7 linked regions of the Mus musculus genome follow. The protein of the gene in region 6 interacts with the protein of the main gene of each other region in a pairwise test. Links are inferred from orthologs where the notes say so. Each region holds a gene or a part of one and is shown on either strand. Other genes may lie near its edges. The genes, in order: Zgpat, Ampd2, Mrpl15, Stk25, Pmp2, Ccndbp1 and Ccdc146.

Region 1 (4,703 bases), about 60 Mb from region 6:
TCCTTGGAACCCACATTAAGGTGAGAAAAACAGTCTACAAATTAGCCCCGTCGCCCACACGCATGCTGTGACACGCACCCCTCCCCCAATAAAAATAACTTAAAACCCGGCAGTGGTGGCACACGCCTTTAATCCCAGCACTTGGGAGGCAGAGGCAGGCAGATTTCTGAGTTCAAGGCCAGCCTGGTCTACAGAGTGAGTTCCAGGACAGCCAGGGCTACACAGAGAAACCCTGTCTCGAAAAACCAGAAAAACTTAAAAAAAAAAATTAGAAAATCTTTGGGGTAAATGTGGAACTCTCACAGAAAAGACTATGAGGGGCCATCTAGAGAAAAACAGGATCAAACAGGTAATGTGTCTTACCTTGTCCCACAAAGACTGCAGCTCTTCCTGCCCACCTAAGTCCCAAAACATGAGACGAGCCTTTCCCACGTCCACAGTGCCAACTGGAAAGAGTACAGAAAGAGCTAGCTCCTGACCTTTACACACAAGGTTCCAGCTCTCCCCAGGATGGGACAAACCATTCTGGTACCAATCCTAGGGAACTTGAACACAGAATAGAAAGACAGGGTTTTGACCACTGGTCAGCTGGGTTGTGGACCTTACAGCATCCATCTCTAAGGGACCTCCTAAGATCATATCCCTAAGGTGCCCCCTTACTGTTTAGACCCACGGTAGTGGTGATTTTGGATAGACTCATCCCCTTGTAGTTCTTGTTAAAGCGTGTTTTTGACTGTTCCAGGAAAGTCTGAGGAAAAAAAGAGAGGGGGTTAGATAGCAGCAGCTAGAGTAGTTTTCTGGTGTCCTTCCCACCTATCCCTTCACACCCATGCAGCCATGCACGCCTCTGCCTGTGGCTTGATCTTCAGGAGGCTGGTGACTACTAACCTGTAGCCTTGGGGCGGGGGTTAGATCAGGCAGGGAATGGGAACTGGTGAGAGAGCAGGGACCTACCGTCTTCCCAGCATTGTCCAGGCCCAGGATCAGGATGCAGTATTCATCCTTCTGGAACATGTACTTGTACAATCCCGAAAGCAGCGTGTACATCCTGTTCTGGCACCCTGAGAGATGTCAATGTGTGTACCGGGGGCATCGGCCTCCTGCCCTGCCCGCTTCATCAGCGGTCCGCCTCTCCTGCTAGTTTTCAAATGTGTAGCCTCGCGGATCCTGACTCTTCGCCCCCATCCCGCCTCTTCTGTTAAAATCCCTGACCCTGATTCCCCCGATGCCATCGCTGACCACGTGCTAGACCTGGGCCACTCCCACTTAATGTCATCTTTCATAATGCACCATCAATTCGGAGTCCTGAAAAGCCCGTGGCGGCCTGCTCTGCTCCGCCTTCCTAAGGCTCCTCTTTCCGAACCCTCAACTCAGAACCAGGAAACGCGGCCGGCGACTTAAGTCTAGGAAGCGACCAGAGAGGCAGAGCTCCTGAGGAGGGTCGGCTTCGGCTTCCCGCCGCCGCCGGGCCCACGGAGCCTGGGAACCAGCAGCTGAAGCCACTTCCGTCCCCCTGTTCCAGGACTTTAGAACCCCGGCCCCTCAGTCCAGCTGAGGCCCACCCGTACCTGCTCAGATCTTGGAGGAGGAGCCGCCGCCGCCGCCGCCGCCGCCGCCGCGTTCCTAACCCCACCGACCTCACGCTGACCCCTCACAGTGCCTGACGGAACAAGGAGCGAAGGACGGAGCACGGGCGGAATCGCATCCCAGCGGCCCCCGCGCGCAGGTACTTCCGGCAGCTTCGGCTCTCCGGCGGAAGTGCCCGGCGGAGGGCAGAAGGCTAGCGCGTGAGCTTGGCTGGCGAGGGCGGAAGCCCTTCTAGCCTGCGAGCGCCGGCCGGAGGTGGGGTTGCGGGCCGCAGAGGACGGGGCGGGTGACGTGCAGGTCCCCCTCGGCGGAACCGCGGCCCTCCTCAGGCTCCCTAGCGGTTTTGGGGGCGGCGTTGCCCTGAGTTGTTCTTACTGCTCTTCCTCCTGTTTTTGTCTGCGGTAAAGGTTCCGAATCCTGCCTGCTGGGTCGGGATGGACGAGGACAACCTAGAGACTGCCCTGCAGACCTACCGGGCCCAGCTGCAGCAGGTAGAGCTGGCGCTCGGTGCTGGCCTAGACGCTTCTGAGCAGGCGGACCTGCGTCAGCTGCAGGGCGATCTAAAGGAGCTGATTGAGCTCACCGAGGCCAGCCTGTTGTCGGTCAGAAAGAGCAAGCTGCTGTCTACAGTGGACCAGGAGAGCCCAGCTCAAGAGGATGCTGAGTACCTGGCTTTCCAGAAGGCCATTGCGGAGGAAGTGGAAGCGCCCGGCGCCCCCTGCAATGACTCGGAGACGGCCCCTGGGAGCGAGGTGCAGCCGGGATCCACCTCCTCTGCACTGGAGGAGGAGGAGGAGGACCCAGATCTGGAGGAACTGAGCGGTGCTAAAGTGAATGCCCCCTACTACAGCGCTTGGGGCACGCTGGAGTATCACAACGCTATGGTAGTGGGCGCCGAAGAGGCGGAGGATGGTTCTGCGTGCGTCCGAGTCCTCTACCTATACCCTACCCACAAGTCCCTGAAGCCCTGTCCGTTCTTCCTGGAGGGAAAGTGCCGGTTCAAGGAGAACTGCAGGTAAAACCCTCTGCTGCTAGCAATGAAGGGCACGCAGTCGGGACCACCGCTGTGGCCTGTCGCCACAACTAGTTTGGCACCCAGCAGAGTTGGTAATAGAGTCCAAACCTTAGGTGACTGACAGGCTTTTACAGAAGTGTTCTCCGTGTGTTTACTTAGATTTTTCTTGCATACATCAAGAAGTTTGAAAGAGCTTATGTTGAAAAGATAGGGCAATCCTTCATCAATATTCTTCTCCAAGGTGTAAAACTTTTTTTTTCCCCTTTGAGATAGCAGTGTAGTAACTCTCGATGTCCTTGAATTCTTGATCCGTCAGCAACTCTACTACATCCTGAACGCCTTCAGTTTCCAAATGCTAGGATTACAGGTGGAGGCCACCACTTCTACTGGGCTACATCTCCAGCTCGGAACCTTTTTTCTTTTTTTCTCTTTTTAAAAATTTATTGACTATGCTGAGGATGGAATTAGGGCCTCCAGCACACCAGGCAACCAACTACTGTACACCTTAGCCCCATCCCAGCTCCTGTAGTTTGCATAGTCTTACAGAAAATTTCAAACACATAATCTCTTGCTGACTTGCCCTACCTTCCCCCCCACCCCCCGTGCTACTTGAAAGCACCTTTCACAAGTTACATCTTTTTCTCTCACCCTCAAATACTTCAGAATGTAGCTGAAATAATAATTACTAAAACTGATTTATGTCTTTTTTTTTTTTTAACTCAGTCATCCAGAATAACCCTCTAGTACTTTGAATTTATTTATTTTAGGCCACTAAAATAAAAAGATTTGTTCTATTATAATGGTAGTAGTGAACTAAAATTAGTTTCACTTGGCAGGATTTTAGGCAGGGCTAGAGCCTTGGAAGTCTGAGGGCAGAATCCAGAACCCATTTCTTTGTCCATTTTTCTTTAAGGTTGTTATTATTATTTTATTTTGATTTTTAAAAAAATATATTTTAAAGATTTATTTATTTTGCTGGGCATTGGTGGCGCACACCTTTGATCCCAGCACTTGGGAGGCAGAGGCAAGCAGATTTCTGAGTTCGAGGACAGCCTGGTCTACAGAGTGAGTTCCAGGACAGCCAGGGCTACACAGAAAAACCCTGTCTGGAAAAACCAAAAAAAAAAAAAAAATTATTTATGTATGTGAGCACACTGTTGCTCTCTTCAGACACATGAGAGGAGGGCATCAGCTCTCATTGCAGATGGTTGTGAGCCACCATGTGGTTGCTGGGAATTGAACTCAATACCTCTGGAAGAGCAGTCAGTGCTCTTAACCACTGAGCCATCCCTCCAGCCCCTTATTTTGACTTATTTATTTTTTACTTTTTTAATGTTTTTCTCTAAAGATCCATCGGTTGCTTTTGTCTCATTTTGTTTTGGTAAGGTGGTTTGATACATGGTCTCTATGTAATCCTGGCTGTCCTGGACTACATACAGCTATGAAAGGCCTTGGCTGGCCTTGAACTCACTACCGAAAGGCTGGGATTAAAAGTTTGCACCATGGCCTGACTATTTTAGGCTTTTTTGAGACAGAGTTTCTCTAGTAGTCCTGGTGGATTTCCTGGAACTTACTATATAGATCTGGCTAGCCTGGAACTCAGAGGCATGCACTACCATTTCTGGCTAAGATATATTTTTAGTTAGTGTGTTTGTGTGTGTGTGTGTGTGTACGTGTGTACGTGTGTACGTGTGTACAGGTGCCAGAAGAGGGTATAGGATCTCCTAGAGCTGGCGTTCCAGGTGGTGGTGGTGACCTGCCGAACATAGATCCTGGAAAACAAACTCAGGACTTCTACAAGAGCAGTATCCTCTCAGCCACTGAGCCATTTCTCTAGCTCTATGTATTTACATTTATCTTTAGATTGCGGTGGGGGTGGGGCATGTGTACAGGTAGGTGCCCAAGAAAGCTAGAAGAAGGTGTTGGATCTCCTAAAGCTGGAATTGCTCACAGAAAACATTAACCACTGAGCTCTCTCTCCAGTCCCCAGAGACCACCCATATTCCCTGTTTTGTGGCATCCTCGAATCACTTTAGGCTCTTCTTTCCATGTTACATCTGTACTCTGCAAGTCTTATTTCTCTACTTTTTCTTTAGGATAA
Region 2 (3,577 bases), on a different chromosome or scaffold from region 6:
AGCCACAGTCTGTCCAGCCTGGTTTGTCTGGATGTCCCACTCTCCCACTGTGGTGCAAATGCACTCCGGTGCCTCTCATGACAGCTCTGACTCTTGCTGGCCTGCTGCTGGCCCTGACCTGCATCTGTTTGTGTCCTGTCTCCCCGCAGCGATGTGTACCGCACCAAGGGCCAGCTGGCCAACTTCCAAGAGATGCTGGAGAACATCTTTCTGCCCCTGTTTGAGGCTACTGTGCACCCTGCCAGCCACCCGGAGCTGCACCTCTTTCTGGAGCACGTGAGCGGTGGTGGCATGGGCTGGGACAGGGCAGGATAGCTGGGGTTGGCCCCAGCTGTGGCTCTAGGTCTGACCACCAGCTCCTCGCCAGGTGGATGGTTTTGATAGCGTGGATGATGAGTCCAAGCCAGAGAACCACGTCTTCAACCTGGAGAGTCCCCTCCCAGAAGCTTGGGTGGAGGAGGACAACCCTCCCTATGCCTACTACCTGTACTACACCTTCGCTAACATGGCTATGTTGAACCATCTGCGCAGGTGCGTGCCCCAGGGGTGCGTGCTTCCTGAGCTGAGGTCAATGGTGCCCTGACACCCATGGCCCCTGTGCCTGGACTGACAGGCTCTTTCTCTGCCCTTAGACTTAATTTTCCATCCTTTCCCGTTAAGGCTCTGCCCCTGTCTTCTCTCCTAGTTCCCCACTGTCACTCACTGGAGGGCATACATATGAGTGATGTGGGATCTGGGGTCAGGTGAGCTTAGGCGTGCCCAGGCTCTGGATCTGACTCTGTCTTCATACCCCACAGGCAGAGAGGTTTCCACACGTTCGTGCTGAGGCCGCACTGTGGGGAGGCCGGGCCCATCCACCACCTGGTATCAGCCTTCATGCTGGCCGAGAACATCTCCCACGGGCTGCTCCTGCGCAAGGTCAGGGTCTGCACCCCCAGCCTCCACGTGCAGCTGCTTGCCTTCCCCATCCTCCTCCTCCCCCAGCCATGAGATCAGATTCCTCCTTCCCAATATAATTAGCTCTTCCCACCCATCCTCTAGCTGGGGAGCCCAGCCCAGGATTCATCATTCTTATGTGAGTCCTCGCCTGGACCACCCTCTTCCCCTAAGCCCCAGAGCCAGCACGCATGCCCTCCCAGCACTGAGGCCACCTGACAAGTCCTCCATTCCCCCTTCCTGCCCAGGCCCCCGTCCTGCAGTACCTGTATTACCTGGCTCAGATCGGCATCGCCATGTCCCCGCTCAGCAACAACAGCCTGTTCCTCAGCTACCACCGGAACCCTCTCCCTGAGTACTTGTCCCGTGGCCTCATGGTCTCGCTGTCCACAGATGATCCCTTGCAGTTCCACTTCACCAAGGTCAGACCCAGGCCAGCGGGCAGCCAAGGGCAGGTATCTGGGGGATACTGGGTGCCTCTAGGTTGGTGCTGCCCCCTTGCTGCTGGAGCTTAGCAACTGTTAGCTAAGTCCTTAAAGGAGGGGGGGACGGCAGGGGCCTGATACCTGCCTCAAGGAACCTGGCCTGTGCAGGAGCCCCTGATGGAGGAGTACAGCATCGCCACCCAGGTGTGGAAGCTCAGCTCCTGCGATATGTGCGAGCTGGCCCGTAACAGCGTGCTCATGAGTGGCTTCTCTCACAAGGTATGGAACTCAGCCTGCTTGGGGCTGGCCATTACCCTTCTCCCTTCCTTTGTATTTGGGGTCCTGACCTTGTCCCTGTGATAATTGGATCTACCTGCATCTCTGCCTGTTACCTATACCCCTGCAGGTGAAAAGCCACTGGCTGGGACCCAACTATACCAAGGAGGGCCCTGAGGGCAATGATATCCGCCGTACCAACGTGCCAGACATCCGAGTGGGCTACCGCTATGAGACGCTATGCCAGGAGCTGGCACTTATCACACAGGCCGTCCAAAGTGAGATGCTGGAGACCATCCCAGAGGAAGTGGGCATTGTCATGAGCCCAGGGCCTTAGTGCACCTGGTCTGTGCAGTGCTCGTCCCATCTCAGCGACTTGACTGTGACCGTGATTAGACCCCTCCCACCTGATGTGGTCTCTGCATGTCTCCGTGCTATGTTTCTGTCCTGCATGTCTTCGACCATGTCTTGCCTCTGGGCCACCTCAGTGAAAGCAAGTCCAGGAATCTGCTTCATTATTGTCTCGGCTCAGGTGGTACCTGGTGGCTGAGATTTAAGAGTTGGCCCTGCTCGTGACCCATCTCAGAATTGTCAGAAGTCTGGCTGTCCTATGGTATCCTCAGTGTCCACAGGGGCTTGGGATGGTTGTGTAGGGCTGGCCCCTTGAGCACCGGGAACCCAGGCTTTGGTTAGAGTTCAAGTTGAGTTTCCCTCTTGTTTATGTGGCTGTGGGACAGGAGGGGCTCGTTATCTCTCTGCTGTGGCACTGGCTGCTCAGCCTCTGAAGTTCCAGCTGGTCTGCGCTGGGCAGAGCAGGACTTAGGCTCACTCACGGCCCTGGAGGCCTGGCCTGAGGGGCTGGCCCACTGTCCCTGCTGAGTCACTGCCCATCAGCCCCGTTCCTCCCCAGCCCACGTGTTCCTTTGTTACCAGCCCCCTTGTATCCCTGTGGGAGGGGGCAGCTGCCCTGACCTGTCTCAGTTGGAGGCTATTGCAGTTGGAGGGTGCTGGAACTGTTACTAGCTCTGGAGGTGGCACCTTCTTTGGGGGTTTCCAGGTCTTTGACCAGACCCAGTTCCCAGCCAGCCTCTTGTGTTATGTTCTAGACCGAGGCCTTTGCTATGAAGAACAGTGTTTCATATGACCCATTTTTTCCTAGTGCATGAGAAATAAAAAGATTATTTAATTAATGAGGCATGTGAAGGTGTCTGTTGGTGGAGGGGGGGGAAGGGCGGCGGAGTGGTAAGGCACTCCGGTGGAGTACGGTGTGGGGCGCTGTATAACATAGACTGGCCGTCCTGCCGACGCTTCTGAGCGCTTGGATTGCAGTGTAGGCCGCCAACCTGTGAAGTGATGGCATGGGTGAAGTGGATTATGTGCGCACTGACTGAGGTGTCTGTAGGAGAGGAGATCCCATTGAGCCTCATCCAGTTCACCTCTTCTGAATAGGTCATGAGGCTCCAGGTCCATGTTGTATATTCTTGACATACTTGCTTGAAGGATGGCATCTTTCCCACCTCCTGCCTCCTGTACAGCCTCTTAGGGCAGCGAGGTAGATGGGAAAATATGCTCCTACATGTCTGCCTGAGGCTTTTAGGGAGCCTGTTTAAAATGCTCTTCCCGGGTCCCTCCCTCAGGGATTCTGACACAAAGGTGGCAGATGTGGTGACAGATATACCTGTCAGATTGTACAGCATGGAGCTGGGGCTGCTTGTATTGGAATCCATCACTAGCAACTCCCTTTCCACCCGTGCCTATGATGCAATTTGCAGAGCACCTTTTTGCCACTAAGGTGGCTAGAACCTGCTGCCAATGCAATGGAGGGGGGGGGGCAGCGCAGGGTTCTTAGTGCATAGGCAACAGACGCTTACACAGCTGCTGCTGGGTGGAGAGGGCCTAGGGGCTGCCTGCCTGCCCCAGAATTGCAAGCCTGTGTGATG
Region 3 (4,757 bases), on a different chromosome or scaffold from region 6:
TCTCCTGAGACTCAAAGGCTGATACTGGTGCCTGAAACTGCAAAGCAGGAATGTAATAATTAGAAAACACCAAGTAACCTTCCTGTATCCTCTTCAAACCAGCACGCTTTCCAGTGTTTTCCTTCATAATTTCTGATGGTCTAAAATAAATTTATAAGCACAACACAAACACATAATAAAACACCAGTGCTTCCTTTGGTCCACTAAAAAAAATTTACCTCTCTAAACATTTACTTCACTCATGGACACAAGTAACTCACAGTTTAATTCAAGATAATATCATAAGGTGCTGGAGAGATGGCTCAGCATTTAAGAGCACTGACTGCTCTTCCAATGGTCCTGAGTTCAATCCCCAGAAACCACATGGTGGCTCATAACCATCTGTAATGAGATCTGATGCCCTCTTCTGGAGTGTCTGAAGCCAGCTACAGTGTACTTACATATAATAAGTAAATAAATTTAAAAAAATAACATCATAAAATAAAAATGGTACCCACTACAATGTGCCATAAACATATTATATATGCATACATATTATATACATAATGTAATATATATATATATACATACATACATAATATATATGGGGATGTTTGTGTATATGTATCTAAATATATCTATATTTCAAATATATACCCATTTAAAAAGGTAATATACAGGCTGGTGAGATGGCTCAGTGGTTAAGAGCACCGACTGCTCTTCCAAAGGTTCCAAGTTCAAATCCCAGCAACCACATGGTGGCTCACAACCATCCGTAACGAAATCTGATGCCCTCTTCTGGAGTGTCTGAAGACAGCTATAGTGTACTTACATATAATAAATAAATGAATCTTTAAAAAAAAAAAAAGGTAATATACATGGAAATAAAAATACATATGGCAAGATACATTTACCTTTTATATATAAATATAGATACAGATATATATAGATATATATAGATATGGAAAGATACATATACATTTTTCAATTGTTAATCATCTAAGGAATTATGACAGCAAGCACTATCATCAGCATGTTGTTGGTCTGAGTAGACTCTGTACAAATGTGCTTTTCTGGGGGCATAGTCATACAGTGACACAGACAATAGAGGGTAAGTTACATTACTAAAAATTATTCAAAGCAACAGTACCATAAGTGTGTTCCTAAATAAACATAAGGTATCTACCAAATTACTTGTGTACTTCTTAGTGGAAATTACGATTTGTACTTAAAAAAAACAAAAAACAAAAAACAAAAAAAAAAAAACAACCTTACCTATGTCCTTCATTAAATCCATATTTTGGGATTCGTATGTAAAATGGAGTCTGCCCTCCCTCAAAGCCCAGCCTTGGCCGGGTTCCTCTCTGCCTTTCTCCTTTATGGCCTCTGCCACACTTCCTACCTCTTCTCCGATCTCTTGGACGTCTTTCCTACAAGAAAAAGTGAGTTTTAAGATCTTCAGATACATTTCTGAAAACTGTCTCATCTCATAGCATATTCCATATTAATGCTGTTTATCCATTGCACCAGAGGTAAAGTACCGTGTGCCAAGCCCTGCTCTAGCTGCGTGCTCATCTTTATACTCCACCAACATAGTTCTCTCAGAATGTAGCTGATCCTAGTAACCAAAATACAAGGTGAAACACAGGGCAAAGTTCTAAGGAAGGGATGGGATCCAACAGGAATAACAAGCTCTACAATAAGCTAGGTCCCTGTAGTGATTGCTATCTGCTAGGTTGAGGCAGGAGGATTCAAAGTTCAAGGCCTGCCTAAGCTACAAAAAAAGGGCAAGGCCAGCAACCCCCAATTTTCTGAGAGTCTGTCTCTGAATAAAGCATTTAAAAATCGGGAAAGGGAACCAGATGTGGTGGCGCATGCCTTTAATCCCAGCACTCGAGAGGCAGGGACAGGAGGATTTCTGAGTCCGAGGCCAGCCTGGTCTAAAAAGTGAGTTCCAGGACAGCCAGGGCTCTACAGAGAAACCCTGGGGGGGGGGGGGGGGGGGGGCGGTGAGAGGGCATCGGGAAAGGGTTTGGGATTACAGCTCAGTGGTATAGTGTGCTTGAACAAACAAGCTAAGGGCCTAAATTTAGTCTTCAGGAAAAAGCAGCTGGAACGGAAAAAGAAAATCCTAGAACTAAACAGCCAAAACGAGGCTTGAGTGACATTAAATGTTTTATTTTTAAATTAATCGTAAATATGTAATTAGATCACATATGGCTAAGGAAAACTCCAATTTTTGCTAGGGACACATTCTAATTTCCTAAATTCCTAAAAGATAAGCTCCTGGCAACTTGTCCCCCTCCACAGAATTGTAAAACTGATGTGAAATGATTAATTGCTTCGGTAAAGTTCCTCATGTAGCTGTAAGTTCCCCAGAAATAAAGTAATTGCGACCTTTCAAAGCCCTCCACCTTCTACCCCTTTAACCTGGGCCTAAGGGGAATTGTGGTTGGCTGCACTATAACATTAAAAAATTGGCTAATTACAACTGGATAGAGTCGGGTAGTCTTTCGGTGTTCTCTAACTCCGTAACATCTTTCCCTTAATTGACTTTGTCAACCGCCCCCCCCCCTAAAAAAAAAGCCGTATATTAAGTTACTGTAAAAGCCGAGCAGCCGACCCACAACAGTTTTCTAGTTGCACCCTGGGTTGCACATTGGCCAGCTGGAATGTAGAAAAAACACTGGGATTTTTATAACGACGATAGGCACTTGCTAAGCAGTTCAGTTTAAACGCAATTTTGGATGAATCGTCTGCAGTTCCCGAGTGTGTACCCTCCGCCTGCTTAGCATCCTTAACACTGGGCGCACGCGGAAGGGAGCCAGGCGCCCGCACGCGTCCATCGCCAGAGTGACGCGGCCCCTGCACTCCCCGCACCGCCGCCAAGCGTTTACCCGTTTTCTGGAGTTAGGACTGGGCTTCAGGTTGGCCAGGCTCACTCTCGGCAAGGACCGCAGCAGGTCCAGGCTGGTCCCGCAGCCGCGCGCCGTGCCAGCCATGACCCGCGGTGCTTCAAGGGCGCCCAGGAAGCGGCGTAGACTCCGCGTTGCTTTACGGCTCCGCCCGGCCCCTGTCGCGCTGCAGCGGCCGTACTGCCCCGCCCCTGTCGTGCTGCAGAGCGACCGCATCCGCGTCGGTAGGCTATGTCTTCCAGCTTCCAGGCTTGATGTCTTTTTACTTCGGGGAACTGCATCAACTTTTGTGAGATCATGCTTTATCCTCTGGCTTTGGTACCATTTTGTGAACGAAAACTGTTCTCTTCTGCCCTGTAATGACTGAACACGCTGTACGGTAAAAGTGGGGCCTCATGAAGCGAAAAGTAATCCAAAATGATGTGAACAGGTTCAAGCTTTGAGACTCTGGTAATTCAACTGTTACAGTGCCTGGCTCTAGAATTAATTGTCTAATTAGGTTCAACCTAATAGCGTGCCTTGCAGTTAACGATGGGGGGTGGGGCATACTTAGCTCCTGGGGTATGCCAGAAACTGAGTTAAAGTTAGCCTTACTAGATTCATATAAACAACCACGCTAGAAGCGAGGTGTGGTTTTATGCCTATCAGATCGACCCAGCTGTCACAGCAGATGGTATAGATAGGATTCAAAGCTAATGAACTTAAACTGCCAAACATATATTTAACTCTCCAAATTAAATGATTTTTAAAACTTGTCTTAATACAAGTAATATAGAAAACAATGTGTTCATTTTTATATTCTTTTTCCGTTCCACTGTCTTGCTGGAGAATTGCTCCTACCAAGCTCTATCAGTTATATAGTGAAGGTGAGACAATTTAATAAGCAGCTGTTTCTAACTCAAATAAACCTTTATTTTTATTTTATTGATTCATTGTGAATTTCACATCATACACTCCAGATCCACAATCCCTCCGTCCTTTTTGCCCTTGCAAACCCCCCCCCCCCCAAAATAAAAATAAAGTTTAGGAAACCTCATCGTGAAGCTGTCGTGTGTCACAGTGTGTCCTACAGTATACCCTTTTGTCCATACATTATTACTTGCAAATGTACATTGCAATGAGTCATTGGTCTGGTTCTAGGTCTCTGGCTTCTGCTACACCAATATTGGATCCTCACAGGGACTCTATTCGGTTATCCTGCTATTGTCCTAGGTCACTGAGATCCTGCAGCTCTGGATCAGCAGGACTAGCTAGCCCTTTCACATGTTCCAACAGGTTACACATAAGGTAGATATCGGGGTGAGCTACTCAAAACCATGGATTTGGGCCTGGGGCCAGAGCCTGCTGGTCATTCAACATGGAAACCACGACTTGGGGTATGAGGATGATTATAGGAAAGGCAAAAAGAAGATGGAAGAGACAGATATGGGAGGGCTACAGGTCAATACCACCACTAGCAGCAAGTTTACTTTCTCAGTGTCTTTTAAAGGCTAGCAACAGAAAGCATGACCAATTCCAGGAAGTTAAACAATGAACATGAACATTTATGTGATAAGTGTATGGTACACACTATCCATGTTTGACTAAGGCCATTTCCTTCAGGCTTGGACAGTCTCTCAAGGACATATGTAAAAGCAGAGGAACTTGGCAGGATATAATGCATGTCTTAACTAAAAGCAAAAGCATGTTAGCAGACTCATTCATGATTAATTACAAGCAAGAACTCAGCCAACATTAACTCTGGAAGTGCTCCCCACATGTCCCCTTTTTATCTATGCAAGCCAATGAAATTGAGGAAAGCCAAAATACTGTGTTGCATTTCTTGTAAGGATACATTTTCTTTATTGTATGGTTTATGTGATG
Region 4 (4,611 bases), on a different chromosome or scaffold from region 6:
AAAAAAAAGAAGGAAAAGAAAAAGGTAGCACAATCCAATCCAAAGTGACTCTTCTAACAGCCACATTCCAACTGGCAGCCATATCCTAAGACCAGCTCTCAGTGAACAGCAGATGTTTGGAGCAGCCTGAACTCCTGAAGGGCCACACTGAGATTTGGCCAGACAGAGAAAGCTAAGGGCTGCCTGAGTTCCTTAAGCTCCACTGGCCAGGGAGTAGGGTTTGATCCCAGCCTCACCTGCTTAAATAAAAAGCCAAGAAAAATTCTCAAGTGTGGCGGATAAGACAGACACTTTAGCTATTTCAAGATCAGCACTGGATCCAAGCCAGATCAGAAAGAACCACTCCAGGCCATGTGCTCTAACCACACTCATCAGTGTGGAGACCACCGATAAAGGTAGACGTGATCAGTGTGAAAAGACCTCAGCCTCTGTCACTTCATGTCTGGGCAGTGACCACTTGATCCCCTGCTCAAAGCCAGCCCTGAAAGCCAGGTGCAGAGCAAGGGCCACATAGCAGACCTTTTCCTGCCTGTTTTGTTGTTGTTGTTATTGTTCTGTTTTGTTTTTCTGCCTGTTTCTGCTCCAGCAGGCCCCAAAACACTTTTTCAAACCCTTCTTTCTCTAACCACTTGGCCTCTACTGTCTCCTCAGATGCTACAGCTCCACCATGTGTAGTTTTGAGACACCTTGAAAACCATCTCAAAGATCTCCAGAAGGTCTAGTTGAGGACTCAAGGCAATACAGTCTTATCACTGGTTCAGTCCAGTGCTTGTAGCCTAAGAAAGCCTGTTAGAGAGAAGTCAAGCCATCGGCTAACTACATGACCCAGGACCACTATCCTTCCAGTTCTCAGTAGCCCTTTTCCTACTACTCAGGCTCAGACACCACATCCTCCCACACTGCTCAGCCATACTGAGAATTCTTAATTGCTCTCTTCTGGGGGAACCTAGAATCAGAACTTGTCCACTACAGTAGCCGAAGAAGGATACTTCAGGCCAGGTATTCACTCACACTGCCTCAGAGGAAAAGAAAATAACAGATCCCAAAGCCAGAGTTCTAGACTTTGTGCAAGGAAGGTGGGAACCCTAGTCTTCAAAGTCTACGTTTTTTGGGTACCTATAGCTGTGAACCAGTCAGCCTAAGAAACAGTATGATAGGAGCCTTTCTGGCATGGTCTCTGTATTTACACCTTTGAAGCAGCCCTAGTCCCAAACCCAGCCAATCACAGACAGCTAGCATGCTGATCTGGGTGGCTCAGATTTCTCTTCTGGACAGAATGTGTTATGAACCATCACTCAAGCCATCTAACTTACTCTGAACAACTGAGACCCATTCGCTCTCCATTCCATCCTAGGGATATTATACTTACAGCCTCTGGCCTTTCTGCCAACATGCCTGCTGTGTATCACCTCTCCAAAACAAGAGGAACAACTCAGCACACATCCTCCCTCATCTACCACACACAGTCACACAGTGCTTGCCCAGAACCATCTGGTCCTTCCAGAGATGGGCAGGAACAGGCCGGGTAAAAGGTAATCTAAGGCAGAAGCACAGGCTACAGGGGGAAAGTACAAGCCTTATCACACAAAAGGAGCAATTTCATAGGACTCTATGGCAGCCATCTTGGGAGAAAGCAGCCCTACAAAGGTTTTGTGTCACTTTCAGAAGCCAAGTATGTCTAGGCTGGACACAGGCCCCTAAAAAGACAAAAAGGGTGTTTTCTCTTTGAGAAAGGTCCCCTAGCCATCATTACTGTACTCCTTCGCAATTCATAGCTCCAATTTGTCATCCTGGGACCTTCATAAGCTAAGCTTAAGTCTCTTAAAAATAAACTAGAGGCAGATTTTTTTTCTCTCTCTCTTAGTATGTTATATAATTAGAGGCGAAATGTCAAAATGTATTAAAAATGTGTTAGCTTAATTCAGCATCAGTTAGCAAGCTCGGGATCCCATCTGTGACAGCTGGGCCAAAAGCCCTCCCCAACAGCTGTGAGTAGTCTTCCAGGCTGGTTTGGTTTCCTCCAAGGAGCCCTGCCTCCAATTCCTGCCCACAAGCAGCGGACGGACATGCTTCCTGTCTACACAACCAGTTCTCAAGGATGCAGGGAGAAGGGGGGTCAGGGTGGGGTGGGGTGAGCGGCTGCACTGTCCTCAGGAACTGATTCCTTCACTGTGCAACTGTCAAGCCTAAGCCTATCTAAACCAAGCCCTTAAAACGCAAATCCCACAGCTAAAGCCAGAGGAAAATCAGCCGCCAAGGCAGCTCATTCCACTTCACTAGCTGTCTGTCATATTGCTCTGAAATAACAACACCACAAATAAAATAAAGGCGAGAAAGGGGGTCCAGAGAGCAAACCACCGAACCCTCTGACCCTACGCAGCCCTCATCTCCTGTGCGGTCCCGTGTCGGGGTTCCATCCCGTTAGCCAAGGAAGGTGGAGTCCATCTTCTGGGAAGGTGCTCCGAGCCTGGGTCAAGCAGGTTGTGCCCAGGGCAGGTTCCTGCACCTGCCCCCAGCAGCTCCCGAGCAGAAGCGCTCGCCCCGCAGACGTTCCCTGGGGCTCACGTCTTCCGCAGGCGCTGGCTCGGCACAGGCCAGAGTTCCAACGGCCCCAAGACGCGCCCCGAGGCAGACGGCCTCCGCCCCTCTCCCGCCTCAAGTGGACAAATCCGCTCCACAGCGAACCACGGACTCGGGGCACGCCGACGCCCACACTCACCTGGTGCGCGAAGCCCCGGAGGTGAGCCATGTCCCCGCTGACGTGACCAGTCCGTCGCAGCCGCTCCGCCCGCTCGCCTCAAGCACCTGCGAGAAACCGCAGGCCGCTCGGTCAACAGTGGCCAGGGGGACCCGTTCCGTGGCGTCCCTCCACCCGCGACCTCCGGTCCCGCGCCCAGGGCCCCCGACCCGCCCTCAGGGCGTGCCCGGCCTCCCCAACATTCAGGCGAGGCCCGCTGGCAGCGCCCACCTCCGGGCGGCTCCATCTCGGACTCCGGGCCCGCTTCGCAGTCCCCACGGCGGCTCACACCGCAATTCGGTCTCCCGGAACGCCCAGGCCTCCCAGCCCGTGAGGTGGAGGCAGCGGCTCTGAGCAGGGCGTCGTGGCGAGCGCGAAGCTCTGTGGGACTAGGAGTCCCGCAGCCCGCCCCGTACCCCGGGCACGCAAAATTGAGACTACAAGTCCCAGCAGGCTGCGCGGTAGGATGAGGTGTTACGCAAGTGCTCCGGGGCCCTGATGGCGACAGACTACAAGTCCCAGGAGAACTTGCGGTGGGCGGTCAGTGGAGAGGCACAAATGCGCCACAGATTGGATCCGAACCTTGAGATATGCCCGAGCTGGGCTGCCCCTCCTGTCAGGCCGCGCGGTGACGGGTGCAGCGCGTGCGCAGTTGCCTTGACGTTTTCTAGGCTTTTTTTTCTCTTTTTTTTTCAGCCCTCCTCTCATTTTCCCAGTTCTGTTTGCCAAGCTTCTGAGACCCATACTGTGTGCCTGGAGTGCGAACCCACATTACCCTCATATCCTGGTGCTCCAGCTTTAACCGCAGTGTGACCTTCTTGTCTGCGCTTAGCAACACACACACACAAGGAGTACGCCCACGCGCGCCCTTAGAAAAGTCGCCCATTGTTGGACAAGTGCTTCTCTCCTGCCTCAGTTTCCCTATCTGAAAAGGTTTAATCGTAGGTCCCCAGGACATGACCTGGCGCTGGGAAGAGTTGTGTGGTCCAGCGGGGATTTCCAAAGGTTGGAAGATGCCTTTCATCCTGTGAATTCAGTATGAGTGACTAGTCAGCAATGTCCACTTCTATGCAGTCTCCTAGTGTTCCACGGGAGGGAGATTTGGCTCCATACTGTGTCCATTCCTATGACGGCTCAGTGCAAACCACCATAATGTCCCTACTCCCCAACTCATAAAGGCTTGTTGTTTCTGTTCTCTGGTGGATTTTCTTCCTGGGCACCATCCTGGAACCTTAAACCTTGCATGCAAGACCTTGCATCAGATTCTTTAACCGCCAAATTTTACTACATGTTGATTAGGTTTTCTTTGCTGTGTTTTTCCCCAGAAGAAAATAGACTTCCAGCAAACAGCCCTGCCCTGGATCCTGAAGCACCTTGGTTTCCTCCCCTCCCCCGCCCCAAGGCATCAACAATAGGGGCAAATATTTTTATTGCCCCTGAAAAAGATCATCTGTAGGATGGCCTTCAGCCTACCTATCCCTCCTATAGAAAAGTCTGAAATTAGGCAAGGCCAACTCTATTAAGACTTATTTATGTACATATATGTGTATGTTAAATGTGAACAGGAACCTACTGAGATCTGAAAAGGCCTGGATCTGGAGTTGCAGAGGGTCATATGCTGAATGGCATGGGTGCTAGAACTAAATTCTGGTCCTCTGGAAGAGCAACAAGAATTCTTAATGATTGAGGAATCTCTGTAGGCCTTTATTTTTGATTTTTAAGACAGGACCTCATTCTGTAGCCTAGGCTGGCTTAAAACTCTCTATGTGGCCCTTTTTGGCCTCAAATTCACAGCAGTTCTGCCTCTGCCTCTGCCTCTGCCTCTGCCTCTGCCTCTGCCTCTGCCTCTGCCTCTGCCTCTGCCTCTGCCTCTG
Region 5 (4,679 bases), on a different chromosome or scaffold from region 6:
TGCAGACCACACCCTTCATTATACACTCCTGAAGAGAAGAGATTGGACATTTAAAATACAAGTCAGAGAACAGGACATTTGGAATAATATAGCAGTTTACAATGAACCCACAAGATTACATTTAGAAAACACCCGGATGCTAACTTTCTAGTAGTTCACAATTACAACATAGAAACTCGAGAAAAACCATTAGAGTTGAACTGTGTTATTATACATGATCAAGCAGCAGTTTTTAATGCACAATTTAGATGCATTTAAATCCAATAAAATTGTCATAGTTATAATGCGCAATGTTGGTTGTCAGCTTTGTGGGAGTTAGAATCATCTATCACAAAGACAAACCAAACCTCTCGGCATGTCTGTGAGGGGCAGTCTCCGCCAGGGTAATTGAGGTGGGGGACCTGAACACCTGACACATGCTAGCATAGAGACATGCCAGTCATGCGTTAGCCTAAGGCAGAGGCAGTGGGCTGGGTGCCAGTGTCCATTTTCCTTTCCCCCAAATGTGCACCACCAGCTGCCTCAAGCATCTGCCTTCCTGTCTTCCCTGCCGTGATGGACAGTCTCTAACTACAGATCAAAATGAGTTCTTCTCTCTGAAGATGCTTTTTAGCTGGCTCTGGTCACAAGGAGAATAGTGACTAACATCAAAATGGCTTTCACATTTGCCTTACCCAAAGAGCAGCCAAATATACTCCCTGAGAGATTTGGCTTGGTTGATCCGTAAAAGGGACCTTGTGTTGAATTGACTCTTATACATCTGTTGTGGAGCTAGAGCTAAACCCAGTGCACAGTAATAGAAATACTCAACCCACTAGAGGACTGTATGTATATTCAGTGTGTGTTAATTAGTGAGCACAGACTCACAGTCTTAAAACTCCCCTAGAGTCCATCTGGTGGACTCCTTTGCCTCATTCTGATCTACTAACTAAAAGGTCTCCAGAGCTTAGAACTTAAATTGTGTTTTTGGTATAGTTTAGGATAAGTTCCTATGGACTCCGGAAAAACAAAGTGTTTTTACTACAATATTCTATAATTGGGCACGCCAGGGTTATATTTTACTTTTGAAGTATAGGCTTTTTTGGCAGTAAGTTTAAACAAGTGACATTCATCCATATTTTCATTAACTTTATTGTTTAGATACTACCACTTAAAATCTTGACCTAGCACACGTAGGACTCAAACATGAATTTTTAAAAATGGTTTTTCACTCAAGCACTAACCCTTGACTTTATTCTTGGTGTTATTGTCTATTTATACTCCAAAGAAAAAGGGACATTTTGCAACAAGCACAGCCAATGAATATATACGGCATTATTTCTGCTGCGAGGACTGGAAATGCTCTTACCACTACCATTCTCCCATCCAGCAGCGTTCTCCTTATGGCTGTCTCTTTCCCATCCCACTTCTGCACTTGCTTCAGGGAGCCTCTCTCCAGTGTCACGATGCTCTACAAAGACACGTTCACATGCTTGGCTTATCTCAGTTTCCATGACAGATGTCTCATCAAGTCACATTCATTCCCCAGGTCCCTAACTCTGAGAAGGGATCATCCTAGCTCTCAGTAGTCCACTGGACCAGCTTTCAGGAAAACAGTATTACAAATTACCTTGGCTTTTCTGTTGTCAGCTGTGGTTTCATCAAACTCCTGGCCCAACTTGAAGGAGATCTCTGTATTTTTAAAGGCACTTTCCGTTCTAATGGTGATATAATCCCCCTTTTTGCTGATGATCACAGTAGGCTTGGCCAAGTTTCCCAGTTTTCTGTTGGCTAACCCCACACCTGAAAAGCAAGGTATGTCAGTTTTGGGGGGTTTTTGTTTGTTTGTTTTGTTTTTTGTTTTATTTATTTATTTATTGATTGATTGATTGATTGGTTGGTTAAGGAGGCATATCTAAGAGACAGATGCCATGTCCATAGGTTTAAAGTTCTTTATTCAGTGATACCTTCAATGAGTAGATGGTGGGGCTTCCTCCCAAGGGCTTCCTCCCAAGTTTCAACAATGAGAGAAAATGCATGTTGGTGACACAAGCATTTTAGTGTACTGTTACAACAGTGATGCCAACAGAGTTTACAGCATAAAACTACACAGTTGCAAAAGTTTAGTTTGTCCACTCTGTCATGTCCAGTGGTATCCTCACCATAAAATAAGTCATTTCAGATTTGTATAAAGCATTAGAGACATTTGAGTTTGTATTTACAAACATTATAGCTGCTTTCAGCCTAACTATCTCCCATCCACATACCTTGCTATAACACGTTCTCTGTCCATAAGTAGCTACGGATATACAGAACACCCCCTCCCCCCATTTCCTTGGTAGAATCATATTTTTGACATTCTGTAGTTCATACTATGCCTGGTAAGAAGAACAAAACAGAACAAAGTCTCCACCACACTCTTGTCTGTAGTCCCTGCTCAACACTAGGATGGGCAGGCATTGGTGGGACGGAGTTTGAACTCACAGCATCCAACTAGCTCTTTTGATCTCAACAACTTCCACAGTTTTCAAGCTTCCTCATCTAGGAAATGTGTTATCTGTCAAGCTTCACACACTTAGATGATCATTTAATTACAGACAAACTCAAAGCAGAGACAAAATTTTTAGTTTGGATAAAGGTTAAAATTTTAAATTGTGGCTTTCTAGTATTCAACTCATAATCTTATGACCACATTAATTTCTATTAAACAAGCTTTCAGAAAATGCCAGAATATGGATTGACTCAAATTCTAATAGTTTTCCCCAAATTTCCAACGGCAAACCTGCAAAACTGTCTTCAAGTTCCATGCATTTAAATAGCTTTGTGTAAGTTCTAATTTATTTATTGCCAGTGAAATGGAAGTAAATTTTATGAATGAGACAGAAGATTGCACTCAGCCCACGAAACATTCCCCAGACTCGGGGGAGGGGGAATATTGGAAGAAAACCCTGTGTATCTGTCTTTCAAGGGACATTTGTCATAAAGCACTTCTCACCTAGAGCTTTCATGTAGTCATCGAAGTGCTCACTGGAGACAAGCTTCCAGGTGCCTAGGAATTTGTTGCTCATTGTGACAGATGAGAGAGTTCAGTAGAGTTCCTGGTGGGATGCAGCAGATGCCTGGGAGATGATGAGAGAGTTCAGTAGAGTTCCTGGTGGGATGCAGCAGATGCCTGGGAGATGCTGAGATCTTGCACAGCTCTTTTCAAAGAAACCCAAAGCATGTGACTCACCCTGAGACCCAATGAGGAAAGGCGGCGACCAGGCTGAGTGATGAATGGCTCTTAAGTCGTACACTGCCTATCCATGGGTGAAATAATCCTCTACACAATGTCCTTGTGTTTCCAAAACCACAAAAACAACTGAAAGTATTGTTTGAACCTTTAAGATATTTTTGGTTCATCTTACATTGATAGGCATGCTTAAGCCCTTCTATATATTATATGAGTGTGTGTGTGTGTGTGTGTGTGTGTGTGTGTCTGAGTGTCTGTGTGTGAGTGTGGATGTGTGTGCACACGCACACGTTTGCATGTGTGTAGGTATCTTACTGACTTTTAATTCTGACTCAGCACGATTAAGAGTTCTTGTTTTGCATTAATTTTTATTGATTATTTGGGAATTTCATATAATACCACCCTAATCACACTCACTTTCAGTCTTCCCAGGTCTGCTTCCCTTCCTTACAACTCCCTCCCTCAAGAAGAAGGAAGAGGAGGAGGAGGAGGAGGTGGAAGAAGAGGAGGAGGAGGAGAAAAAGGAGGAGAAAAAGAAGGAGAAGGAGGAGGAAGAGGAGAAGGAGAAGAGAAAAAGGAGGAGAAGGAGAAGGAGAAGGAGAAGGAGAAGGAGAAGGAGAAGGAGAAGGAGAAGGAGAAGGAGAAGGAGAAGGAGAAGGAGAAGGAGAAGGAGAAGGAGAAACAAACCCAGTTTGTGTTGTTCATATACTCATTGGAGCATCTTTATGACAAGTTTTAAGCGTTCTCTTCATGTTTCTCTAGCTAGGTTGTTACTTTTTGGGTGGTGGGGTGGCGTAGGGTAAGGGTTGTCACAGAATTCTTAAAAGGGGGGACAGTCTATGAGTATTGTAATAAGTGTCTCAAATATGCTGTGGGAGGGAAATGGGAGCCCACACTTTGAGGGCCCATTGAGAAGTTAAGGAGGCTTGGCATAGTTTACATATTCTGGGCAGGCAGAGTAGGCAGACAAGAAAGTCAGTCTGCCACTGTAGAGCACAGACGCTGTATTCATGCATCAGGATGGGAAGCAGCACTCTAGCGTGCCCTTTGACTGTGGTTTAGATTCATCTCTTTTTAAAAGCATACCTGAGGATAATAATTCTTAGTTTCTATGACAACCTTGAATTTAAAGCATTTTATTTAAAGTCCACAGATTTATAGAGAGATGATTTCCTACCAAATAATCCTAATGAATTCTGAGAGCTCAGTGTAGGATAGTCCCATGTGATTTGCTTAGATTGTCTCATTTCATCCTCTCAGACCCAGTAGAGACAGGCAATATTGTTATGTACAGCTTGACAATGAGGAAAACTGCATCTTGAAGTTAGACAACTTATTCCAAAACTAAAACAAAAGTCCAGATTTAAACTAGCATTATTCCCCAGTGCTAGATCCTGACTATGGACTAGCTTCTTCCAACACACAAACACACACACACACACACACACACACACCACACACAAACCAT
Region 6 (3,475 bases):
TCCGTCTGTCTGCTTCTTAGTGTGGATGACTTGGTTCTGAGCATATACCCACCTGTGTGCCACCTCACTGTGCGGATCAGTGTAAGTACCAGCTTTCATTAGTATTTATAGAGCATTTATATCATCACCAAACTTGTGTGCAGATAAAATATCTTCATAGTTCTTGTTTGTATTTGGCTTGATAAATACTAGCTGGACTCTTGTTATAATAGCCATGTGCTTTGATACTTTAATTCTTTTTATTTTTAAAGATTTATTTATTTATTTTATGTATATGAGTACACCATTACTGTCTTCAGACACACCAGAAGAGGGTTACAGATCCCATTACAGATGGTTGTGAGCCACCATGTGGTTGCTGGGAATTGAACTCAGGACCTCTGGAAGAGCAATTAGTGCTCTTAATCACTGAACCATCTCTCTAGCCTCTGATATTTTAATTCTTTTAGAACCACTTGAATAATTGTTTGAAAAAAAGTCCAAACATCTTAGAAAGCAGTGCATTAAGGAGCAATCTTTGAACATTTTTTATTTATCTGGGGAGGAGAGGCATGTATGCCCATGTTTGTGTGCAGGTGAATGTGTGGACACTCAGAGGCTCTGTCACTCTTCCTGATTACCCTGAGACAGTTCACTCACTGAACCTGGAGCTGGTCTGGCAGCAAGCAAGCCCAGCGATCGCCTTGCCTCTGTGCCCACAGCGCTGGAGTAACAGATACACGCATGGTCATACGTCATTTTTTTATGTGTGCTTGGGTTTGAACTCTTGTCCTTATGCTTGCAAACACTCTTAGCCATGAGATCTAATTACACTGAATCAGTACCACAATATATGTTTTGTATGTATAATATACATATGTATTTGTGATTTGATTGTATTCTTGAAATGCTGTAACTTTATAGTTCTGTTTGTTTTTAATGACCTCCAGTTCATCTCACTGATGTAACTGGCAGGGAGGTGATCCTGCCAAGCAACTTACATTTTACAAGATGTATTGGTTTCAATATTTGATAAAATAGATGGTGGAAGATTGATTAATGTGCAGAACTCTTCAGGATGGCAGGTTCTTTGGAACATTAACTTTTTTGGCATTAACTTTTTAAGAACTAAATTCCTGAGAAATAAAATTTTAACAAGATGTTCTATCAGTGATCCCAAATACAGTATCATATGAAGTAATTTATAAATTTGTATGTGCTTATGTGCATTATTTTATATTGTTGCCGTAATCCATCTCCACGCTATCTCTTTGTTGTGGATATGATGGCTGGGTTCAGAGTAGGGTCTGACACGTGCTAAGCACGGCTCTACCTCAGGTCTTGAGATTTCCCGTCTTCCTGTCTTGAGCTTCTTAAAGTTCTAAACAGGGCCGTATGCCATTTCTGCCTCCGAGCCTGAGCTATTATAACTGTTAGGGTCTCCTTTTAAAAAGAAATTCTTCCTGTGTGTAATTCAGGCTGCCTTAAAACTCACCATTCTTCTGCGAGGTTGAGGTTATCCTTGTTCCAAATTAAAAATATTAAAGATGAGCTGGGTGTGGTAGCACACACCTTTAATCCCAGCATCCCAGAGGCAGAGGTAGGTGGATCTCTTAGTTTGAATCTAGCCTGGTCTACAAAGTAAGTTCCAAGACAGCCAGGGCTACATAGAGAAACCTTGTCTCAAAAAACAAACGAAATTAAAACTGTTGAAAACATATAAATGTTATGCCAGTGGTGTTCCTAAGATCTTGTTAAACAGAAAAGAACCTAGTCAGCATTTTAAATTTCATTCATTCCTTCATTCATTCATCCATCTATATATTGATTGATTGATTGTGTATGCATATGTAAGTCACATTGTATGTCATTGTATGTGTAGAGACCTGAGTATAGCTTGTGGGAGTCCTTCCATCATGTGGGTCCCAAGAATCATACTCAGGTTGTCATGACAGCCAGCGTGCTTACCCACTGAGCCATCTCATCAGCCCTTATCAGTCAAGGCTTTTTTTTTTTTTTTTAAACATGAGTGCTGGAAGTTCAAACTCAGGTAGGTCTTCAGGTCTTCATGGTTTTAGAGCACCAAAACATTTCCTCCACCCACTTTAAGGCTCTTTTTAAATGATTCTGTTATCATCATTAATTGTATCTTCAAGTTCTCCTTTCTATTGGTGCCATGGCTCAGAGTGAATGTTATCTCTGTTCCTTTTCTAGTCTGCGAAATTGGTGTCTGTTTTAATAAAGGCTCTTGAAATTACAAAGTAAGTATGAAGACTTCTCCCTGTGTGTTTTGAGACTAAAATCATCTGCCCAGCTATTCTGCCCCATTTCAGATTAGCATGCGGGTATGGGTAGGGGTGTGGAGCAGCCAGTCTGTGAAGGGGAATCCCTCTTACTGTAGTTTCTTCTCTGTGCCTCCTGGGAATGCTTTTCCCTTCACGCCGTGTTAACTTGATTTTTTTTTTTTTCTGTTTTATTCCAGAGCAAGTCACGTGAGCCCCCACCCAGGAGATAGCTGGATTCCTTTACTCATTAATGCCGTTGACCATTGCATGAACAGAATTAAGGCGCTCACTCAGCGTGCAGCTGAACTGTGAGCCTCCAATCCCTACTCTTCTTTCTCCCCTCTCTCTCACACCCACGATCCAGTGTCTGCTTTACCTATTTATTTTTTAAGTTTTTTTAACGTCTGCTTTTAGAAGTGGAGCTTTGACAGGGTGTTTGCTCGATAGAAAGGCAGCCTCTGTCCTTAAGAAGAGATTGTTACCAAGACTCCAGGCTAGGAGAGATTGCAGTTATCCACCAATCATACAGTGTGCTATGCTTCTGTGCTGGACACAAATTTCTATAAACTTGTGCTCTGAGCTGTTTTTTGGAAATCTTTAAGGAAGTTGACTTGTTCTCTAGTTTACTACAGTAAAGCATATTGTTTTATTAAGATTTTAATGATCTCAATAAATTGCTAACCTGCTGTGATTAAATGTGTCATTTAATGTGTCCTCTGAAGTGTCATTTAAAATCTTCTATCATAAGCCAGGCATGTTGGCATATACCTTTAATCAAAGCACTAGGGTGGCAGAGACAGGTAGATTTCTGAGTTCGATGCCAGCCTGGTCTACATAGTATATTCCAGGACAGCCAGAGCTCACAGAAAGACCCTGACTTAAAAAGTGTATTTTAAAACCTAAAATCTCTTTTTAAATTCAGTTTCTAAACTGTGGGCTCCTGTAAAATCAAAAATAAGTTAAATACTTTCTTACTTCAAGATGGAAGAACCAGGGTACAGTCACAATCTGAACAAAGCAAAACCACACTCCATCAGTGCAAGTAAATCCATGTTCTATATCTGGGATTTACTCTAATTTGAGTTCAGGAACTCTAACCCTGCCACAAACTGCCAAGCCTCAGCTGCTCCCATGACACATTCACACCTTCAAAAACAGCACCACTTGAGTAACTTACATCACCAAGTCTGGCTGCCAGCACAAGGCATAAC
Region 7 (4,552 bases), on a different chromosome or scaffold from region 6:
TTTTAGAAGAGGTAAACGGTGCTATTGCTATCATCAGCAACACCATCCTTCAGTTCCAGGAAGAATGAGAGCCCCAGAACCCTTTCTAGAAAAGTATGTGTGCTCAGCGGTTTGCATCTGGGAAATAAAATAACGGGACTCAGATGCCTAAGAAATACGTTTTGCAGGTACTATTATGAATTTCCCCAGACAGTCTTAACTATGTGTCTTGCTTCAAAGTTTGTATTCGCAGAGAATTTACTTATGCCTAAATGAATAGACATCTACCAACCTGGGTACCTGTTGGAAAGCAAGGTTTTTTGTTCGTTTGTTTTTGTTTTTGTTTTTCTAGATTAGCTGGAAGCATCTATACATAGAGCTGACGAGGGACCAGAGCCCCGAGATGTGGGCTACCAAACCACTGGATAGTTATCAAGAAACCTCAACCCTGAACGATGCTAATGACTGTGATGCTAATGGCTCCACAATGTAATTAGACTCAGATTATTCCAATACAAGCTTCCACTCGGCTTTAATTTTCCTCCTTAATTGGAAACCCAACGCTTAAACACTATTAGTTTTGTGACCCAAACCCTTTTTCACTTCACTTGCCAAATTTGACGGGCGCGTTCACCTCCACCGACGCCTGGGGGTCGATGTCGTCCGACAGAATGGCCATCTCCTGCCGATCAGCATCATACTTGACCTGCAGGCTGTCCAGGCCGCGCGCCACGTGCTCCACGCCGCACACCGCCACCTGCACGCGGTCGCCATCCGGGTGCGCAAGGGGATCCAGGGGCCTCACGGCCAGGTGGCAAGGGAGCCGCGCCCTCAGTCGCCCAAACGGGCTCACCTGCAGCGTCCACTCCCTCAGAGCCCCACGCGCCAGGCCGGCCCCAGAGTCATCGGGCGCTGATCCCTGCCGCTGCGCCCCACTGGAGCCGCAAGTCCGAGCCCCGAGAGCTCCGACCAAGGCGCCCGCCCGCACTCGGGACGCGCAAGGAGGGAGGCGGCCGAACATGCTCTCCCTTGGAACGCTTCAGCCTTGGCTCGCTGGTCCCGGGACCACAAGAACCACGAGCTGCCTCGGGTCAGTCACGAAGGGGACAGCATGCACGGCTCCGCCAAGGAAGAACGAGCCAGGCCCCCAGCACAGTACTTAACGCCTTAAATCCCGGTAGGAAAGTTAAAACTTCAAAGAGCCTAGTTGAAACCCTGACCTGGACAAGTCACCTATTTCCGCCCCTTTGGCGGAGGCCATCGGGATATGTAGTTTTAAAGGAGCCAAACATCAAGGTGTTCTGGTAACTGTGAAACTACATATCCCAGGAGACAGTGCGCTGAATACACAGACTGACAGCCGATTGGTAGAGGAGCCCCCGCTCCCCCCTCGTTGCTTTCCCGTTGCTTCAAGCCCATTGGCCAAGAGAGCAGAGAAAGAAAAAAAGTTAATGTAACTGACCAATAGGAAGAGTAGAAGGGACGGGATAAACTCAGCTGTGGTTACTTTGGATACCAAGGACGCGACTCTTAGGAGAGGGTGAAGTTTTGAAGTGAGACCCCAGGGACCAAAACACACGGAGAAAAATAAGAGTTTAAACAAGGATCAGGACCAAAAGAAAGGGTAAGAAACAGCATGTTTATAGATGGGAATCAGATTCAAAGTTAGGAATACTTTCTTTAGGTAGTTAGAACCAAAGGTCACCAAACTAATGTGGATTCCCTGGGAATAGAGAATCCCCCTCACAAGAGACCTTAGCATGAGAGGACAGACACGTTCTGTTGCTTTCTCCCTTCTCTGTCCTTTAAGGGAACTCCCACTTAGGTAAAAAATACTAGATAGAAAAAGTGTTAGAAGCCAGGTATGGTGGCGCACGCCTTTAGTCCCAGCACTCAGGAGACAGAGGCAGGTGGATTTCTGAGTTCGAGGCCAGCCTGGTCTACAGAGTGAGTTCCAGGACAGCCTGGGCTATACAGAGAAACCCTGTCTCGAAAAAGAAAAAAGAAAAAAAAGGAAAAGAAAAAGTGTTAGAATTCTGGCTCTTTCTTAACTGTAAGTAGTAATCTTAGGCCAGTCATTGGATGCCTTTGGGTTTTACTATTTGCTTATAAAATGATGACACTATCTTCCTTGTCTTGTGTAGAAGTTTTTTTTTTCGTTTTTACCACATTTATCAAATGAAACAATGGACAACAAAGCAGTGCACAGTATACAAAACAAAGTATTTTAGGAATGGCATATGTCTACGTTGCTAAGAGATTTGGAGACATTTGAACTTGGTTAGAGGACAGTCTTGATCTCTTTCCCTGCAACTGGTCCTTGGCCTTAATGGTAAAATAAAATCTCTCTCTCTCTCTCTCTCTCTCTCTCTCTCTCTCTCTCTCTCTCTGGATCATAAGACTTGTTAGGGGATGTCAGAATTTTTTCCTGGTCCTGTTGTATTATCTATGGCACAAGAAATGTTTCTTCAGTTTTGATATAAGACAGACTGTGCTAAATAACTCTATAAGTTAACTCTTTTTTTTATTATTCAGTAGGCAGTAAAGATAATGGGAAATGGGGGGTGTGGACATTATTTCAGCCATATTTGCCTATTCTTCTCCCCATTCTACAAATAATTCCCTAAATTCCTTACATACAGATTTAACTAATTGCAAGTCCAGTGTGATGGTGTTCACTTGTAAGTTTTCAGAGTTTGGGAAGCTGAAGCAGAAAGATCTCAAATCTGAGGCCCACCTGGACTATATACGGAGAACGTTGTGACAAATAAAATACACAATAAGTAAATAAAATGATACCTTTAAAGATCAAAACTCTCAGCCAAATATGGGACCCCAATTCTTTGAACCTGAAGTGACAGATGGATAGATAGACTAGGCTAAAGTCCTCCCCAGCGTCCATGTTGTTCTCTTAGTGAAGACTATGGTAGTGGTGGTGGCAGTGACAGCCCTGCCCTGCTGTCAGCCATCTGAGAAGAAGGCCCCTATCCTTGAGGACCTCCACCAAGGTGAAACCTGTCCTTGACTTTGCTGGAAAAAAAATGTTGGGAGAAGCTAATGTGAAAGAGGGTTGATTTAAAATAGATTTTAAACAAGGGTTTAAGAGCACAGGGGTTGCTAGAGGTGACTGATCACACAGGGAGAGAAAGAGACACACCCAAGAGCACAGGTGTAAGCTCCCTTGAGCTTGCCCTAAGTGACTTAGCAGAAGTGCTCCAGAGTCACTCTTTTGCTGACTCTCATGTTATGCCTCAAAGGATTTCTCTAAGAAACTTCTTTAAAACCTTTCTCTTCTTCTTCTTTTTCAATAAGTGAGATTATAGGATTACTCTAGAGATGTCTTGGATTGGGTTACAGTCCTAAAATAAAACTGTGTGTCACAAGAATTGTAAAAGGGAATTAAAACATGTCCTTTACTAGAAGTAGGGTTTTGGGTAAGATTTCTAGAAAACTGTTGGTTTATAGCTGAGAAAGAAGAAAGAACACATATATTTAGGCCTTACATGTGATCCATTGCTCCTTCAACAATGTAACTTGAAAGTATCACTATGTAAGAGACTGGTGATCCTCATCGATAATGTTGACAGCTGTGTTAGAACTCTTCATCTTCAGCTGGTGAGACACACTGGTCAGGCTCTGGAATGAGGGCTCCTTTTATTCCCAGTTCTCCATCATGTTCCCGTGTTTCTCTCCTGCCTCAGTAGGCTATAAGATAGACTTTATGATAAGCAAGTGCTCACTCAGTGAGTAGCGCCATTGGCTTTGTGTCCCATGTGGACGTACGTACTCAGACGAGCCTTCAAGTTATCTTTTTTAAATGAAAACCCAAGAGTCATACTTTGACATTTGAAAGAGGCACAAGCAAGTTGAAACTGCGCTCTGATTTGCTGTGGACGTGCTGCATATATTTGGGCCGAATATGCATCCTTAATAAATCATCCTGTTCCTATAGTCACTTTTCCTTTTCTGAGGAAAAATAACTTAATAGAACTGACAACTGAGCCATCATGATATCTGTGACACGGTCATTATTTCATTACTTTCAAGCAAAGGAACTAAAACGTACTGAAAGACTACCTTCCTGCTTTTATGAGGGTGGAACCCGAGAATCTGGTAGAGATTAAGAGTGACGTAAGATATTAGTTACCAATGCCTAACAAGCTAGTCAGTATCAAACTTGTCTACCTGTAAAAGTGAGTGATATAGTTTTCAAAGTATGTTCCCGTGTACCATCTCACGGTTTTCTCACAAAAAGCTATTAAGAAGGATAGTTATTCTTCTCCCTGCATGACAGCTGAAGAAACAAGATTCAGAAAAACAAGATGAAGCCATTATGACCCCCAAAACTGTGGTTCTGGGGGGATGAGAGCATTAAATTACAAATGTACAAGATTTTTTTGTTTTGTAGGACTACTTATTAATAAATTATTTCTCTGCTGGTGAGATGAGCCAATTCAACCCAGATTAGATTATATTAAATTCCGGTTTATTGCTCTTGGGTGGGCAAGTTCATTGACCCCAAGGAAGGGGGAGAGAGGGAAAGAAAGAGCACACACACACACACACACCACAC

What was found.
Region 1: the proteins of Ccndbp1 (region 6) and Zgpat interact in binary tests that used the Homo sapiens proteins (3 or more experiments, as listed by UniProt). The two-hybrid records come from large-scale screens. The link is inferred for Mus musculus from reciprocal best matches to the Homo sapiens genes CCNDBP1 and ZGPAT.
Region 2: the proteins of Ccndbp1 (region 6) and Ampd2 interact in binary tests that used the Homo sapiens proteins (3 or more experiments, as listed by UniProt). The two-hybrid records come from large-scale screens. The link is inferred for Mus musculus from reciprocal best matches to the Homo sapiens genes CCNDBP1 and AMPD2.
Region 3: the proteins of Ccndbp1 (region 6) and Mrpl15 interact in binary tests that used the Homo sapiens proteins (3 or more experiments, as listed by UniProt). The two-hybrid records come from large-scale screens. The link is inferred for Mus musculus from reciprocal best matches to the Homo sapiens genes CCNDBP1 and MRPL15.
Region 4: the proteins of Ccndbp1 (region 6) and Stk25 interact in binary tests that used the Homo sapiens proteins (3 or more experiments, as listed by UniProt). The two-hybrid records come from large-scale screens. The link is inferred for Mus musculus from reciprocal best matches to the Homo sapiens genes CCNDBP1 and STK25.
Region 5: the proteins of Ccndbp1 (region 6) and Pmp2 interact in binary tests that used the Homo sapiens proteins (3 or more experiments, as listed by UniProt). The two-hybrid records come from large-scale screens. The link is inferred for Mus musculus from reciprocal best matches to the Homo sapiens genes CCNDBP1 and PMP2.
Region 7: the proteins of Ccndbp1 (region 6) and Ccdc146 interact in binary tests that used the Homo sapiens proteins (3 or more experiments, as listed by UniProt). The two-hybrid records come from large-scale screens. The link is inferred for Mus musculus from reciprocal best matches to the Homo sapiens genes CCNDBP1 and CCDC146.

Annotation. Positions count from the first base shown.
Region 1 is NC_000068.7:181,363,651-181,368,353, forward strand, and holds the start of Zgpat (zinc finger CCCH-type with G patch domain-containing protein), read left to right. Parts: upstream 1-1,772; 5' UTR 1,773-2,021; coding exon 2,022-2,602; intron 2,603-4,703. Other genes in the region: Arfrp1 (ADP-ribosylation factor-related protein 1), read right to left, coding at 364-446, 661-748, 955-1,047. UniProt on the Homo sapiens protein: Transcription repressor that specifically binds the 5'-GGAG[GA]A[GA]A-3' consensus sequence. Represses transcription by recruiting the chromatin multiprotein complex NuRD to target promoters.
Region 2 is NC_000069.6:108,073,312-108,076,888, reverse strand, and holds the end of Ampd2 (AMP deaminase 2), read left to right. Parts: intron 1-149; coding exon 150-276; intron 277-367; coding exon 368-531; intron 532-797; coding exon 798-918; intron 919-1,184; coding exon 1,185-1,358; coding exon of another isoform or gene 1,359-1,391; intron 1,392-1,529; coding exon 1,530-1,640; intron 1,641-1,767; coding exon 1,768-1,974; 3' UTR 1,975-2,827; downstream 2,828-3,577. UniProt on the Homo sapiens protein: AMP deaminase plays a critical role in energy metabolism. Catalyzes the deamination of AMP to IMP and plays an important role in the purine nucleotide cycle.
Region 3 is NC_000067.6:4,782,697-4,787,453, forward strand, and holds the start of Mrpl15 (39S ribosomal protein L15, mitochondrial isoform 1 precursor), read right to left. Parts: upstream 3,031-4,757; 5' UTR 2,982-3,030; coding exon 2,877-2,981; intron 1,410-2,876; coding exon 1,255-1,409; intron 38-1,254; coding exon 1-37.
Region 4 is NC_000067.6:93,632,579-93,637,189, forward strand, and holds the start of Stk25 (serine/threonine-protein kinase 25), read right to left. Parts: upstream 3,150-4,611; 5' UTR 2,969-3,149; intron 2,806-2,968; 5' UTR 2,750-2,805; coding exon 2,720-2,749; intron 1-2,719. UniProt on the Homo sapiens protein: Oxidant stress-activated serine/threonine kinase that may play a role in the response to environmental stress.
Region 5 is NC_000069.6:10,180,773-10,185,451, forward strand, and holds the start of Pmp2 (myelin P2 protein), read right to left. Parts: upstream 3,114-4,679; 5' UTR 3,048-3,113; coding exon 2,975-3,047; intron 1,783-2,974; coding exon 1,610-1,782; intron 1,451-1,609; coding exon 1,349-1,450; intron 29-1,348; coding exon 1-28.
Region 6 is NC_000068.7:121,013,938-121,017,412, forward strand, and holds the end of Ccndbp1 (cyclin-D1-binding protein 1), read left to right. Parts: intron 1-20; coding exon 21-81; intron 82-575; coding exon of another isoform or gene 576-726; intron 727-2,193; coding exon 2,194-2,240; intron 2,241-2,461; coding exon 2,462-2,576; 3' UTR 2,577-2,975; downstream 2,976-3,475. UniProt on the Homo sapiens protein: May negatively regulate cell cycle progression. May act at least in part via inhibition of the cyclin-D1/CDK4 complex, thereby preventing phosphorylation of RB1 and blocking E2F-dependent transcription.
Region 7 is NC_000071.6:21,421,616-21,426,167, reverse strand, and holds the start of Ccdc146 (coiled-coil domain-containing protein 146), read left to right. Parts: upstream 1-1,490; 5' UTR 1,491-1,603; intron 1,604-4,552. Other genes in the region: protein FAM185A, read right to left, coding at 592-1,000. UniProt on the Homo sapiens protein: Essential for sperm flagellum biogenesis and male fertility.